Sus scrofa: one gene and its partner. The protein of the gene in region 1 purifies or fractionates together with the protein of each later gene. This does not show direct contact. Links are inferred from orthologs where the notes say so. Each region holds a gene or a part of one and is shown on either strand. Other genes may lie near its edges. The genes, in order: ATP1A1 and HADHB.

Evidence for each region.
Region 2: the proteins of ATP1A1 (region 1) and HADHB fractionate together in Homo sapiens (co-fractionation; 3 studies listed by BioGRID, with this or other methods). This does not show direct contact. The link is inferred for Sus scrofa from reciprocal best matches to the Homo sapiens genes ATP1A1 and HADHB.

Annotation. Positions count from the first base shown.
Region 1 is NC_010446.5:104,379,247-104,387,238, reverse strand, and holds the start of ATP1A1 (sodium/potassium-transporting ATPase subunit alpha-1), read left to right. Parts: upstream 1-3,722; 5' UTR 3,723-3,729; coding exon 3,730-3,741; intron 3,742-7,992. Other genes in the region: proline-rich protein 18-like, read right to left, coding at 2,237-2,789. UniProt on the Homo sapiens protein: This is the catalytic component of the active enzyme, which catalyzes the hydrolysis of ATP coupled with the exchange of sodium and potassium ions across the plasma membrane.
Region 2 is NC_010445.4:112,748,958-112,757,049, reverse strand, and holds the start of HADHB (trifunctional enzyme subunit beta, mitochondrial), read left to right. Parts: upstream 1-3,928; 5' UTR 3,929-4,057; intron 4,058-8,092. Other genes in the region: HADHA (trifunctional enzyme subunit alpha, mitochondrial), read right to left, coding at 3,586-3,652. UniProt on the Homo sapiens protein: Mitochondrial trifunctional enzyme catalyzes the last three of the four reactions of the mitochondrial beta-oxidation pathway.

The DNA of each region.
Region 1 (7,992 bases):
AGACGCAGCTCGGATCTGGTGTTGCCATGGTTGTGGTGTAGACCACAGCTCTAGCTCTGATTCCACCCTGGGCTCGGGCACTTCCATATGTCTCAGGTGGGGCTGTAAAAAGAAGAAAAAAAAGAAAGCACCTGCAATTCTCCCACCAAAACTTCCTCGGTGCTAGGTTCAGAGAGCCAACTTTACAAGTAGGAAGTGTTTCCCATCTTGCAATTTTGAGACCAGGCTCTCCCATCACTAGCCGAGTGGCCTTATTAGTACAAATCCTCAAACCTCCAGTTTGCCGCACTCCGTAAAATACAGCTAAAGCCTTTTACCTTCTGGATTTGTGAGAATCCCAGGGACTTTTATATGCAAAAGTGCTTGTGGAGGAGAAGGCAAAAATACAGATTTTAGTTAATATTTCTGATACCTTCTCTTTTTTTAGGGCCTCACTTGCAGCATATGGAAGTTCCCAGGCTAGGGCTGAATCAGAGCTGTAGCTGTCAGCCTACACCACAGCAATGGCAACCCTGGATCCTAGCCACGATTGCAACCTACCCCATGGCTGATGGCAATGCCAGACCTTAACCCAATGAGCAAGGCCAGGGATCGAACCTTCACCCTCATGAATACTAGTTCGGTCGCTTAATGCTAAGCCACAATGGGGAGTCCCAATATTTCTTATCTTATGCCTTTTCCCCACTCTGGAACGCAGCTAGAGCTCGGAGGTCCTCCAGGAAGGACCTTCGGCAATCTTCAGCTGCCAAAGAAACAGCTGTAGAGACCACGGGACATGTCTTGATCTCTCAGGGTTATACTGCTGAACCAAAAAAAAAAAAAAAAAAAAAGCTAATTTTCTTATTAAGGGAGGAAAAGGTGATCCTTTCGCAGGAGAAATCTACACTGTTGAGACTTTCTGCATGTTGTCGTTCTTGCTGTGTGCTTTTTCCATTCAGACCAAGGGATAAGTAATTTCAAACAAACAGAGATCTTTAGCAAGGAAAAGCCTCCTACAGGTTAGCAGTAATGGGGGATGCCAATACAGCATTTTCTAGACCCTTGGAGACAGAGCCCTGATCACGCTCCATAAATTCCTTCTGTTGAATTAGCGGCATTGGGAACCCTGTTCTGGATGTGGGGGCTCTTTTCTCCAGCAGTCATGAATTTGAATTCCGTTTACAATGCCTTTGCTCTTCAGGGTCTGCACTGATTTAACCAAGCCTGAAGATGGAGGAGGCACCAGTTCTTGACAATGCATTCTTGGGCAAAGGGAAAGAGACTCATGGAAGAAACAGTTTCTTCTAAGGAGCAAGACTTACCCTCATGGTCTAACTGATAGCACAGTTGCTAGTTTTCCCTCCTTTGTTTTTCATTCTTCCTTCCCTCCTCCATTTCTTTCAAGCTTCACACCTTTATTTATTCATGTTAAATTAATACTTGATGTCGACAGGACTAGTTTTAACTTGCTTAGGAAGTGAATGTTTTCTGTGTTTCTTGTTGGAATTCCCAGAGATATGGAGTGATTTTCTCCTGCAAATCTTGTGCTTTCCCAGAGTATGCCTGACTTCCTGAAAACATTGTTAATAATACTTTGTTTTTTAACTGTTGGAGACCTCCAGCCACTGCAGCCTCTGCAGAAGCTGTAGTGGGAGGAAAGCGGCTCAGCAGAGCCTGGCTAGGGCTCTTGGGCGGGTGGTCCTGGGCCCGTCACCACACTGCAGGCGCAGGTCCCTCACAGCACCCACTCCTAGGCAGAAAGAGGTCCTGCTATGTCAGAGGGCAGGCAAGGAGAGGCGTGAGACAGGCCCACTAATAGTCCCTCTCCAAGGATCCCCTTTTGCTAAAGATATTGGGCTTCAAGTATTCCTTCTCTCAAAAGCGAACCCCCAATCTGGACAAACAACTTTCATTCACACAGTGGCATGAATGAATTCACTGCAGGCCCTTTGGATTGACATTTGGGGGTCTTGAAGGCGGCGGCGGCGGCGGCGGCGGCGGGGGGGGGGGTCTTGGGACCTCTGGCAAAGCCAGCTCAAGCCCTATGGGTTGTGGATAACGGAGACCCCAAGACCAGAGAAGGCATTCAGAGGGGCACCAAAGGACTGGCTGGGAAGGCCATCCGCAGGTGGACGCGGGGCCTGGACTCCGCAGGAAGGCGGAGTCCCTCCTGCGGGCGCTGGCTGCAGGCACACCCAACCCCCACCCCCCCATCCCCGCGCTTCCCTTAGTCCCAGAGGAGCTCCCGGATACCCACAGATGCTCCAGCGCGTGGTTTCTGTCCCAGGTCCACGGAGATTCGGGGGCCCAGTTCTGCGGACGTCCCCGCACCCACTGCGGACCTTGCGTGCCCTCCAAAGCAGGCGGGTCACGCAGGGAGGCAGGAGGAGGGACGCGAGAGCTGCAGGGCCGCCGAGTCCCCGCTGCCCAGCGAGTCGCCGCGCCCCGCAGTGGCGCAGCCGCCGCCTCTCGGGACTTGGGCACGCGCGCCCCAGGCCCCGGCGCCCTCCTGCCGGGAGCCCCGACCGGCCGCAGCCGGCGCGGCCCCGGGCCTGCGGGGGTGGGGTTTGAAGCGGGGGCGGAGTCAGGCCCGCGGCCGGTGTCAGGTTGCTCCGGTAACGGTGACGTGCCGCGGCGTGGGCGGGGCCAGCACGCAGGTTGCATATTTTAGGAAGTGAGGAGGAGGCGCGGGCTTGAGCTGCGGCGGGGTCTGGGGCGCAGAGCAGCGGCGGGAGGAGGCGGACACGTGGCAGCAGCAGCGGTAGCAGCCCCGGCGGCGGCGGCGGCGGCGGCGGCAGCAGCAGTGGCATCGGCCCGAGCCGCCGGCCGTCTTCCCTCCTTCCCGCCCCGCAGCAGCCCTAGCTCCCTCCTCTCCGCTCCCCCGGCCGCTCTTGCTTGGCCGGGAGCCGCTCTCTTTTCTCTCTGATTCTCAAGCAACAGGACCCGGCGCGGGACACAGACCACCGCCACTATGGGGAAGGGGGTGAGTGTCCAGCGAGCCTGGGGAGGGGTGCGGGGAGCCCTGGAGGGGAGGAGGAGGAAGAGGAGGAAGTCAGGAGGGCGACCGCAGCCAGCGGGAGGCGGAGGAGGAGGAAGCGGCGCGGCGCGGAATGGGTTGGCAGAGCAGAGAGGCTTAAAAGACGACGCACTTTGGAAATGGAGGGAGCGCTGTAATGAGGGGCGGGCGGGGGAAGGGAGAGCCGAGGGCCCGGAGCGGGGCAGCCCCAGGCGGTGCGCAGAGCCTGGAGAAGGACTGCGGGCCCCCGAGCCCGAACGCGTCGCGGGCCCTGGGCTCCTGGAGGCGGCGCTCGGGAGTCGCAGGCCCCGGAGGCAGAGGAAGGACAGCCGCTGGGCCTCCCCGGCTAGGAGCGGGCTGCCGGCGGCATCCCCAACCCGCTCCCTCCCTCCTCCCTTCCCTCCCTCCGCCCGCCCTCACCTCCCGTCTCTCGCCTTCCTTTTTCCCTCCGCCCTCCGTGCCCCGAGGAAAGGCGTGCTCCTCCCCTTCCCCTGGGGCGCTCTACCCGGCCCCTTCCCGGGCTGTAGTTCCCGCCGCGGCTCCGGCCTGGGCGATGGGGGTCTTCCGATGCGGGGGCGGCCTTAGGGTCCCAGGCTTTTTCTCCTGGAGGCGCCAGGGCTTAGCCAGTTGCCCGGAGAGGTGGCCGCCCTTCCCCAAAGGAAAAAACTGGCTTCCCCTTACTGCGGAGCCGGTCTGGCGGGCTGGTGCCAGAAAGGGTGTGTCTTCGCCCTAAGATGGCCTTTAAGGTATACTTTTGAGAGCTTTAATGGGCCCCTTTCCATTAAACACAGGATGCTCCCGGGAGGCAGCTGGAGCCACTGGTGTGGTCATCTTGAGGGTGGGGAGGGTATGTGTAAGTTTTTTAGAGCGATGAGGCAGGAAGGAGCACAAGCAGATCCACCCGGGCCTCCGGGTACAATAAACCCGAAAAAGAACGGGAGGCGGGGCAACGCGGTGGGAGCGCCCACCCGCGGAAGAGGGGTCGGAAGCAACGAGGGGTCCCCCGGGCCGGAGGAGCGGGCGCTCTGGGGATACCAGAACAACGGCTTGTTCCTGCATTTCTATAACTCGGGGCTGAGATAACCCGTAACCACAGCAGGAGACTAGGTCCTGGACTCCAGTGGGGCCAAGAGTGCTGTTGAGAAAAGTTTATACAAAATAACAGAAGAAAAAATGAGATAAAATGACCAGGTCATGAGAATACTAGTGGGAGAGCATCTGCTCCATTGTGTCCAGAGCCTGCACAGTCCCCGGCCCGTAGTAGGTCTTTGAAGGTTGGGCAGGCTCCTGGGTGTGGAGTGAGCGATGGGCAGAGAAGGAGGGTGCATTCTCTGGAAATGCCAAGTGGATTTTGAAGGAGGTCATTGAAAGGTTTGAACCTGGTAGTAAGGAAGAGTGGGAATGCACAACTTGTATCTTTTAAAAGCACCAAAGTGGAGGGCTGGCTCAGGTCAAGTAGCTGAAGGCAAGAGCTGAGTGCTAGCCTCTATACTGCCCACGGTGGAAACTGAGTTCGTGACTGTACTTGAACCACTCCATCAAATCCTAGGGCATTCCAGTAAACGAGCTCCTTAAAGCTCATTTCTGTATCTCTATCCCCTCAAAAAAAAAAAAAAACCCAGAAAAAAATCATGTTTTCTGAGCCACCTTACTGGTTTGGGGGAGCTGGAGAAATGGTAGATATGTCACCAAGGCCTAGGAAGGTGAAGTGCTTTGCTCAAGGTCAAATGGTTGGTTAGTGACACACCAGTCCCTGATTCCTCCCCGGCCTAAATACTCATTCCCTCCTTAACGTTGCCTTATACATGCAGAATTCTAAAGTTATTTTTCAGATGAAACTGGGGTGTTCGTGATGCTGAATTAATGGACCAGATGTTTGAGTAACTGGATTATATCCATAGACCTATATTTCCTTTTCATAACGGCGCACAGGCCCGGGAGTGGGAAAGAGAGCAACATGCCTGGGTTGTGGAGGTTTAAGCAGTTTCATCTTACGGATCCTCATCAAATGGCTAGTGGCTAGCAAACACAAAATTGAATTGTAATTGGTGAACGCAGGCTGATGTGCTGCTTAGCTGCTGGGTGGTTCGTATTTGGGGAACTCTCACAGATTGAGCATTAGGGGGTGGCTGTGTGTGTGTGTGTCTTTGTGTGTGGTGGTGGTGGTGGTGGTGGTGGTGATTCTCCTGGGATAAAGTTAACCTTTTTGTCCCCAATGACTTACCGTGATAGTCCAAATGTTCAGGATATTTTATGCTGAAATGTTGGGATTTTTCCACATGGGGATTAAAATGTGGGTGGAGTGGTGACTAAAGCCCTGCTGATAATTGGTTAACCAGGAAGCCTGTGCTGGCAGCTAATTTTTAAGGTCATTGTTAATTTCTTCCCCTCCTCTTCCCACTGCTGTTGGGGGCCTAGGTTTTGAGGAGATTGCAGGTGATTTTATATCTCCTTCCAAAGCCACTGCCCAAGCTTTTGGTAAGAAAACGAAAGAACAGCTCCTGCTGAATCATTCCTGGGTGAAGGAGGATTGGGTCCTTTTTTTCGTGCGGGGTGTCTTGCCAGTGCCTTGGCTTAAATCCGCAGCCAGGCCTACCACCCACAACCCGTTAGCTCACCAAAGGTACCCAAGAAACTTGCCTTTTTGCTCAAGTGTACAAAGGGGTGGGGGTTTCACTGCGATTCTCCATTGTGTGAATATTAACTTAGTTACCTAGAAATCACAGCTTATGGGGAGAGATTTGAAGAGGAGCCTGGGGGGAAAAAGGTTCGGGTGAAGGTTGCACAAGGGATACCCATGTCAGCAGAAATCCTGGTTGTATGGTAACATTATCAGCTGCCCTTTTGGAGCTCAACTTGAAAGTGTGGCTAAATCTCCTCTGGCTGCTATAAAGCCAGTACTTTAGACTGAAAACATTGTAAGGCAGAGTCCTCACAGTGGAAGGTTGCCCAGGCCAGGGCCCCCAGCTAGTGGAGCGGCTATGGGAGGAGCTGGTGACTAGCCCTGGGGATAGAGAAAGAAGGTCGAGGTTGCATCACACCCTCGGCCTGTTAAATGTTGAGATGTGAATGTTTGTTCCTCTCGCTGCCGCCCCCCCACCCCACCTTTGCTGTACCCTGTTCTGAGGGTGTATTCTTTTAGGGTAACTTTCTGTTTGTTAATTTGTAGTGTTCTCTGCCAGTAAGTTTGTAACACTCTGGTGACTCACCTTTGGGTAGGAGGGTGGGGAAGGGGAGGCTCGCATCCCCAGTCAGAGAGATGGAGAGGAGGCTAAATCTGACAGCCCCACCCCTTCCCCACCAAAAAAATAAAAGGCCAGGTTTAAAAAAACAAAACAAAACCACACAGTTAAATGTTTATTCGGGTAAGGGCTAAAACTTGAAATATCCAGACCCCTGGAAGTGTTAATTCCTCCATTGCATTTTAAACTAAAAGAGTGAAGGCAACATTTCAAAGTACGATAAACTTGGTACCCATCCATTCTCCATCCCAGAACCCTTCTAAAGCATTGTTTTCTGATTATTTTAGCAACAGATTAACAGGTAAGTGACTCTGTGCTTTCAGGCTGTGTTCTTTTACACTGTATATCCACACTTAAGAATGAAAGAGGCTTTAGGGAATATAGTTTTCGAAGGATTTTGTATGGAAAAGTAAGCTAAGTGCGTTTCTTTAAAACAAAAATGTTGAGGGTTTGGTTTGGTTTGGTTTGGTTGCTTTTTTAAGCCCTGAAGCATCGGTTTCTCACCTGGCCCTTGGGTAGACTAATCACCAGAGTGGAGTCACCTTTGCTTTGTTTAGAGCGAGTGCAGGGCAGGTGTGAGTGGCTGGCAGCTCTTTGGGCCTTAGAAAGTATTTGGCACCAAGAGAAGAGCAAATCTTTATTAAACTGTGGGTTTGCTGTTCCTCAGTTCGTCTGAACGTAAGCCTTTTCAAAACTAGAAAACAGTCTTTCTTTCACCTGGAAAACATCCTGAGGATTGAAAAGAATGGGAAATGCTATGAATTACCCTCCAAGGGGAAGTTGCCTGGAAGTGTCACTGGACATGTCAGAGGTGCAATTGAATAGCGCCTTCGGTTTTGATCTACTTTCGCTTTTCAAATAAAAGACTTGACATTTTTAGAGTCTTTGTCAAAGTCTTGTGAAATACAACGGGAGGGGGGGAGGGTGTGCTTGGGCTTTCAGCCCTCGGTGATGGGCTGTGGTGCCTTCTAGCTGCCCAGGGCGCTCTGCCAGCCAGCAGGCCAGAAGAAGAAACACGAGTGTCAGATCAGATGGGCTCACAGTAATCAGAGTGGCTGCTTTGGGACAGCAAAACACTGGGCAGAATGTTTCCCCATCCGTGCCAGAGCTGTCCAGTTCTGGGTTCCGCTGAAATTGCATGTCCAGTAAGTGCTAATGTGAAGAACGGAGAATTGTAAAATCCACTCTCCCCCCCCCCCAACTCCCCTTCGGTTTTTATATTTTGGGAAAAGGAGACAGAACCGAGGCAGATTTGAACTTTCTCGCATTGCTCTGGATTGAGTGTGTGTGAGAGGAAGTGTGTTCTTTGGCTGGTGTCAGAGAGAGACTGTTCTTTGCATATGAGTCACCTCCTTCGTTGTGCTTAAATCTGTCGTCAGGAATCCACAAGGAGTTCTTCACATTTGTTTGACTGACGTTTGGGGCGGCAGATTTCTACCGTGAGAACAGAAGCACCCCAGACCCACCCTGCAGCTTTTCTGTCTGCTTTCCTTTGGGTCCTGAGCCAAGGGAATTTTGGCCAGTAGACCCTATTGCTTCGTTCCTTTGTGACTGACTCGACAGTGAATTATATCTGAACATTAATTTATCTCTGTATCTGGTTTTATTCAAACCCTGTTGAGTAACAGCTCTTAGATACTTGCTGTTGGTGATCTGAGGCATTGATCCCTGATGGCTCGGGCTTTTGTTTGGGGGGCCTGTATGGTTTGAGGGCTTGATCATCAGTGTGTTAAAGTTTGGGGATCAGTGGGACCT
Region 2 (8,092 bases), on another chromosome or scaffold:
TTGCTTTTCCCCCACTGGAAATCTGCATCATCTGTATTTATTCCTCTTCCCTCTTTACATCTGTATAATTGCTCCACAAAGCTCTATCTGGAGAATCCGAGTACAATGATCTTTCCCTTCCCTGTCTGAATTTTTATCTTTATTATTCACTGTTCTGGTCTCTAGTGCATTTGCAGCATGTGTTGCCCCCAACTAAACTGTAAGCTCCTCCAACATCATCTCATCGTCATTCATTCCACAACCAAAATCTAGTATGTCCTACTATGTGCTGTTCCAGGCACCTGGAGCGAACAGAAAGACAAAAATCCCTATCTTTGTGGAGGAGGTGAAAACAGGCCTGGCATAAAAAGGAGTTTGTCTGAAAAGTAGAAATTGCAGGGGGAGAGGAGCCAGGTAATAGACAAGTCTAGCTAGAACAGTGTAAACTGCATCAGTGAGAATGCACTGATCTGGAATGCAGAGTGGGAGGGAGGAAGTGGAAAGACAGATTAAACAAGAAACATAAATACGGAAATAGATATGTTAGAAGATAAGTGCCTAACAAAAAGAGAACAAAGCAGGTGAAAGGGTTTGGGTGGGAGCTACAATTCTAAAGACCAAATATTTGAGACAACAGGTTTGTGTTCATCAGCTTATAAACTCTTACCCACTAAGCTACCTTTGGCCCACATCCATACGCAAAACCTCCTCTACATCAAGAGAGGCAGAAAACAAACAGAAAATCAGTAAATGTACAAACATATCTGGAAAACAATTTCAAACCAGTCAACCAAATCAAGATGAAGTACAAGACAGCTTTACTTTTGGATTTCAGCCTTACTCACTACCTAATTAGGAGAGCTTGCTTTAGAGCGGCTGGGTGAACTTTAGCCTATATTTACTGAGGCAGCAAAACAGATGGAAACCTTTGTCCTACTTTCTGATTGTTTAAATAATTTAACTCAAGAAGATACCTACAAGACCTAAGATTATAGCAGTGGAGAGAGCTGTATTCTGCTGACGCAAGTGTCAAATATGAAAATGTTACCTTGGTTGTAACAATCATGTTTTTCTCAATATTTAATCCCAGAGGAAGGGACAGAATTAAGGAAGTGAGAGTCAAATTTATTTAACTCGTTGATTAATTTATTTTTGCTTTTTTTTAGGGCCCCACCCCTTGGCATATGGAAGTTCCCAGGCCAGGGGTCAAATCAGAGCTATAGCTACTGGCCTACACCAGAGCAAGACCAGATCCAAGCTGAGTCTTCAACCTACACCACAGCTCACAGCGACACCACTAACTGATCGAGGCCATTCTTTTTTTTTTTTTTTTTTTTTTTTTTTTTTTTTTTTTTTTTTTTTTGGTCTTTTTGCTATTTCTTTGGGCCGCTTCCGTGGCATGTGGAGGTTCCCAGGCTAGGGGTCTAATCGGAGCTGTAGCCACCGGCCTACGCCAGAGCCACAGCAACGCAGGATCCGAGCCGCGTCTGCAACCTACACCACAGCTCACAGCAACGCCGGATCGTTAACCCACTGAGCAAGGGCAGGGACCGAACCTGCAACCTCATGTTTCCTAGTCGGATTCGTTAACCACTTCGCCACGACGGGAACTCCCAGTGGTAGCATTCTTGAGGACACAGGTTTGATCCCTGGCCTCGCTCAGTGGGTTACGGATCAAGCGTTGCTGTGAGCTGTGGTGTAGTTTGCAGACACGGCTCAGATATGGCATTTCTGTGGCTGTGGTGCAGGCGGGCAGCTACAGCTCTGATTCAGCCCCTAGCCTGGGAATTTCTGGATCCTTAACCCACTGAACGAGGCCAGGGATTGAAACCGAATCCTCATGGATACTAGTGTCCACTGAGTCACAACTGGAACTCCCTGGACTTTTTTCAAAAATCTATAAATTGCTACTAAAAGAGGCAATAACTATAATAAGCCATATTTTCTTTATTGGGGAAAGACCAATGCAAAATATATACACATGTGTATGTATATATACTTCTACACAAAAAAAATATAGAAGAACCAAGCTTGTAACTTTTTACTACACATGTAAAACAAACATTACTTTAAAAATTATCAGATATACATAAATCACAGTTCTTCAGGGCAAAAAAGTGTTAATAATAGCTAATGCTTATTAACATTAATAATAGCACTTACTTCATAGAAAAGCTGTTTTACACTTAAAACAATTCTTTTAAAGCTCAAAAGGTGGTATTATTCCTCATTTCACAAAGGAGAAAACAGAAATATACATTAATTGTCCAAGGTCATCAGGGGTAAGGTCACCAGAGAGGGTAAAAGACAAAGCCAGATTCAAACCCACAAGTCAAACTCCAAATTTAATGCTTTTAACTGAATTACCTTAAGAGCAATGGATGGGAAAGTTCAAAAATATATATTTGATATTTTTAAAATGTTAAATCAAAAATGTGGAAAACAGACAAATCAAACTGTCAGGTAACATGACCAAATGCTAACAGTAGGTATGTGAGTAGTAAGAGAATGGGTGATTCTTTTTCCTTAATCCCTTTCCCCACTCTTAACATTTCACCTTCTTGTAATATTATGAGTGGGAGTCACACACACACACACACACACACACAGAGTCCTGTGGAGCCTAAAAACAGTGGTTGAAATAAGAAAGCAGAAAAGAGTCAATCATTTAATCAATCCCTTACAGTAAAGGGAGATTCCAGGCACTAAAACAGCATACAGTACTACCCTAGTGGTTCAGAAGGAGGAAGGCATATTATAAATGAAATTACTAGTTAAGTAAGCAGAGTTAAATACAACATGCAATAAAAAAAATCACATTTCACCTTAAAGATTTGAGGTGGAAGGAAAATGCTTGATTTTCCACAATCATCCACTTTAATTCTTTCTCTTGCCAGTTTGAAGAGAAAAAGACAATATAGCTAATGAAAGCTACCTGGGTATTGTTAGAAACTAGGGTAGAAATAGTTGTTAAAATTATCTAACATTTTGTTCCTTAAGTATCTTCATGTTTAAAAAAAAAAAAAAGTTTTCTCCTTGCAAGTTGCAGGACCTCCCCTGAGAAAGTCAACGCATTATACTGGGTTCCTACTGGGATTATGGAACTGCAACAGGTGAGTTTCCTATTAAAGTGTGGTAATAGGTACAAAAAAAGGTTTTGAGGGAAAGGGTGTGGAAGTGGCAGTAATTTGAAAGGCTGGTTAATTTCATACAAGAAGGTTTTAAGATACCTCCTTTTACAGGCAAGGTGCTGTGGAGCCACAAAGATGTGACAGACTAGGCTGTCCTAGTCGTCCTGGACCTCTCCATCTAGTAGGGACAGGTTCAAGGCCATCATGAAGGGAAATACGGGGAGACCTGCGGAAGATGCCAGACCCAGTGGATGGAACTCAGAAACGTCAGCGGTTACGGAGTCTGAAATCGCCGCAGGACTTGAGAGAAAATATCAGTCCCTGCGCCAGTAAACAACAAGACACTGGGTCCCACAGCAGCAACCCTCTCCCTCATCCAACGCTGGCTTCCTGAGCCAGGAGATGCAGGCAGCGCTGCGGCGATAAAGTCCAGGTCTCTGGCCAGGACCGTAGGTTGCCCTCAAGCAGGCCTCACCTGGGCAGCGGAGCGTCTGGGAGGCAGTGAAGCGACGGAGGCTGCCTATTGCCCGGGAGGCGACCATCTTGAGCAGGAGAGGACGAAACTGGAAAGTTGCTGGAGCTGGTGGCAGCCAGAGGACTTTTCTTCCCGCCGGCTGCCCCTGGCCAGGCGTCCGACGTACTGCCTGACTGAAACCCCGGTGACGAATTGCCGCTGGCCCCTTAACCTTGCCCTTGGCTTCCGGCTAACGGGACGAAAAGGACACTTTCTCCGCCGGAAGGAAGAAGACCCTGGGAGGAGGGGGCAGAGTTACATTTTTTTCAGTCAGGCAGCCGGAGGGCAGCCCGGGAGGCCGGCGTGGCTCGCGGAGCCAGCGGGCCGGGTGAGGGGTCCTTCCTAGGCAGGACCTGTCTTTTGGTCCCCGACGGGTCCTGTCACTTGAGTCCGAAGCTTTCCCGAAGCAGGTGCCTGAGCGACGCGAACTAAGGTGAGAAGGAGCGTGCGCTCGGCTCTCCGCCTGGCCTTGCCCCCCGGCTCCGTCCGCGCTTCCTTTCCCACCTTCTACCCCAGGGCCCGCGGCCGCCTCCTCCATGGGGGAGTGGAGTTCGAGGGGACGGAAGGAAGCGTCTCAGTGGAGTCTCCCGTACCGGTGCAGTTTCGTCAGTAATTTGGCTTCGCGTTGTCGTAGCTCTGAGCAGCGGTGTCCCCTGGCTCGTTTAATTTGTCATCACAAGTTAACAAACTGTTGATTTGTGTGCGTGTTAGTTTAAAACGCTGGCCCGTGTTCCACTGTTGTTTCATGCGCTTTGCCTGTAGTCAGGTCGACTACAGAGATTCGGCTGGAGCCAGAGGATACCTCTTTTATGCTGCTGGGAGTGGGACTCTGTCTCATGGCTTTTGGGGACTCAAGTTGGGAGGAGCTGAGACATTGCCGTGCCCTGCTCTGAGATCCAGTGCTCAAGATTATTTTCTCATCCAGAAGGGACCTGAAGATCATCTAGTCATTTATCCCCTTCACTCTATCGGTGAAGCCCATGAATCAGAGTGGCTACAGTTGGTAGAAATAGGACTAGAGCCTACATTTACTAACTTCTAGTCAAGAACTCTGCAGTGCATGATTGCTGTTTTTGTGCTGGAAAAATAGTCTGGAGTCCTGGAATCCGGCGATTGATTCCAAAAAAGGGGACCTCGTAGGCCCTTTCGCTGCCATCTCATTGAATCTTCATATCCCAAAATTGTAGTTTGCATTTTGTAAGTGGAGTTTAGGGGCTCAGAGATTATGTCAACTTTCTGGTAGCTGGCAAAGCCAAGAATGAGACATAAATTTGAGTCTCACCGCTCACCAGATTGACTGTTCAAGAGGCAGAGAAGAGGCCGGGGGAAATGGCAAGGAAGTTGAGACTGAAATGAGGAGTATGGAAAGAAAGAAGAAAAGGTTTCTGTTTAAAGCTCAAGTCATATAGTGAGTCCTCCATCACTGTGATCATGTTAAGCAGAAACTGGATGACCAGTGATCTCTTAATTAGTAAAAGGAATTCTTGATGACCTCCCAAAGCCCTCCAACTCATAAGGCTTTTACAGTTCAAAGCTGCCTCCTCCCTCATAATGCTCTTGCGGCCTCTAATTTAGTGTAGCATTTATTGTTTAGATCAGCAGTGGCAAACTTTTTTCTGTAAAGGGCCAGAGAGTAAATAGTTTAGGCTTTACAATCCACATCCATCTCTGTCATATATTCTTTCATTTGTTTTGCTCGCCAACTCTTTAAAATTGTAGAAACGGTTATTAGCTAGAGGCCCTGGGGTTGTAGTTTGCCAGCGCCTGATTTAGATCACTCTTTTGGCTCTTGAATTTTGGTTCCCTGTATTCTCAACAAGAGCCTAAGCTCCATCAAGGGCAGAAACAGCTCCTTCTCACTGTGGTTTACAGAAAGAGGAACTCAGTGTGTTTATACCATCGCCCACTAATGTTAATAGCAAACGCGTGTATAACCCGTACTGTGCATCAGGCACTGTACCGAGTGCTTTATGTATTTATTGATTTAGTTATTCTTCATGACAACCCTATGAGTTGTAGGCACTTTAATTATCTACAGTTTATAGGTGTATCTTACCGATGAATTATCTACATTTTACTCTTAAAACCGAGAAAGAAAATGGCCTTTGGAGGTCATCAAGAATCCTTTTTGCAAGTTGAGTTACTTGTTTAAGGTCATAACAACTAGGGTAGAGCCAGGATTTGGATTAGATGGTCTGCCTTTAGTGTGTGTGCTCTTAAGGACATGGTAGATTGTGTCTTAATGAGCTGTTAGAGCCAGTCCATCTTGCTTTCATTACTTGTTTACCTCATGGATCTTTCCATAGTTTCACAACCTACTCAAGCCTGGCATGCTCTCCAAATACTTGAGTCAAAATATATTTCCTAAAGCTTAAAGCAAATGGCAGTAACTAAGTCAACTCTCCCGCAGGCTATTTTGCTTAGTTCTTTCTTTTGAAACCTCGCTCTACTTTTTATTAATTATTGAGGGAATATATATTCTATTTAATTTTTTTCAAAAACTTCAGATAAATCTAAAGAAAATAAATACACCAATAACTCCACCACCCAGAGCTAACTGCTATTAACATTTGCTGTGTATTTTTCTGGACATTTTTTAGGCATTTGTATACTTTTACCTGTAAGATATTACATGCAAATTTTCCTAAAGCTAGATTTATACCATACATTAAAAAGAAAATGTTCATTGTAAAAAATTTAAGAAGACAGAAGAATATAAAATACTAGAGTTCTCTTGTGGCACAGTGGGTTGAGGATCCAGTGTTGTCACTGCAGCTGCTTGGGTCACTGCTGAAGCATGGGTTCAATCCCTGGCCCAGAAACTTCCATGTGCCAGGAGTGTGACCCTCCCCCAAAAGAATATAAAGTGAAAGCCCCTCTTTATCTCAGCTTCATGGATTTTCATCTCTCTTTCTGTCATAAAATGGAGTTTTACTATATGTATTGTTCTGCAGCTTGCTTTTTCATTTAATATATGTTGTGGACATCTTTCCATTCCGTATATACATGTATCATTACGTTTCAATTTTCTTTACAAATTACTGAACATGGATGGAATGTTTGCTGTTTTCTACTATGTGTGTTTACATCCTTAATATTTGTATTGGCTAGAGATCTATGATTGCTGTATATACACCTTGAATATTTCTATTGCTTAAAGACCAATAAGAAGAATTACTAGGCTCAAAAATTACAGTTCAGGAGTTCTCACTGTAGCACAGTACGTTAGGAATCTGACTGCAGTGGCTTGGGTTGCTGCAGAGGCTCGGGTTCAATCCCTGGCCCAGGAACTTCCATGTGCCGTAGGTGTGGCCATAAAAAAAGAAATAAATTCACAAATCAAAATCTGAGAGATAACTAAAAATTGCCTTCTGAAAAGGCCTTAGCAATTACACCTCTATGTGGAAGGGCCTAAATAGATCTACTCTTGCTAGAATTATATATTAACCAATTTTTAATTCTTGCCAATCTGATAACCCCCAAATGATACTTTATTTATTTATTTATTTATTTTTTTGTCTTTTTGCCATTTCTTGGGCCGCTCCCATGGCATGTGGAGTTTCCCAGGCTAGGGGTCGAATCGGAGCTGTAGCTGCCAGCCTATGCCAGAGCTACAGCAACGCGGGATCCGAGCCGCGTCTGCAACCTACACCACAGCTCACGGCAACGTCGGATCATTAACCCACTGAGCAAGGGCAGGGACCGAACCCGCAACCTCATGGTTCCAAGTCGGATTCGTTAACCACTGCACTACGACGGGAACTCCTGATGCTTTATTTTAATTAAAAATCTTTTGTTAGTGAGGTTGAACATTTAAATTTTTGTTTATTGGACATTTTTATTTCTTCTGTGAATTGCTCATTTGCTCATTTTTCCTTTTGGTCCTGTTTCAGGAAGGAGCCTTTCAGTCGCAAATAACAGAAACTGCAACTGAAATTGGTTTAATAAAGGGGATTTATTTTCTTATGGAACAGAAATGCATAATGGGAGAGTGGGTTTCAGATATGATTCAATCAGGGCTCTGGATTCTTTTTCTGAATTCTCAGCTCTGTCCTCCTTTGAGACCAGCTCTTGCCTTAAAACTAGTTTTTATCATGTTTGCAACTTGTAGCCATGCCAAGTTTCAGAAGGAGAGAAGATTTGTGTTTCAGAATTCCAGGCAGAAGACTTGAATGTCGTACTGACTAGACTATCCCTGAATTGATACTAGTGGGCAAGGCAATACCATATATGAGTATTTGAGGCCTTGGTTTCCTGAACCAATAATCTTAGCAAGGAGAATGAGATTATTCTGATTGATTTAAACCCCAGAGTTGAGCTAGATTCAATCCCGTGTAGACCACATGTGGCAGCTACGTAATGGGGTGAAATGGATAATGGGGCTGAAAAACCACAGATTCCATTACAGATTGTTCCTCTTTTTCCTGTAATTTGTATAAAATCTTTATGGATTATGGTATTAACCCTT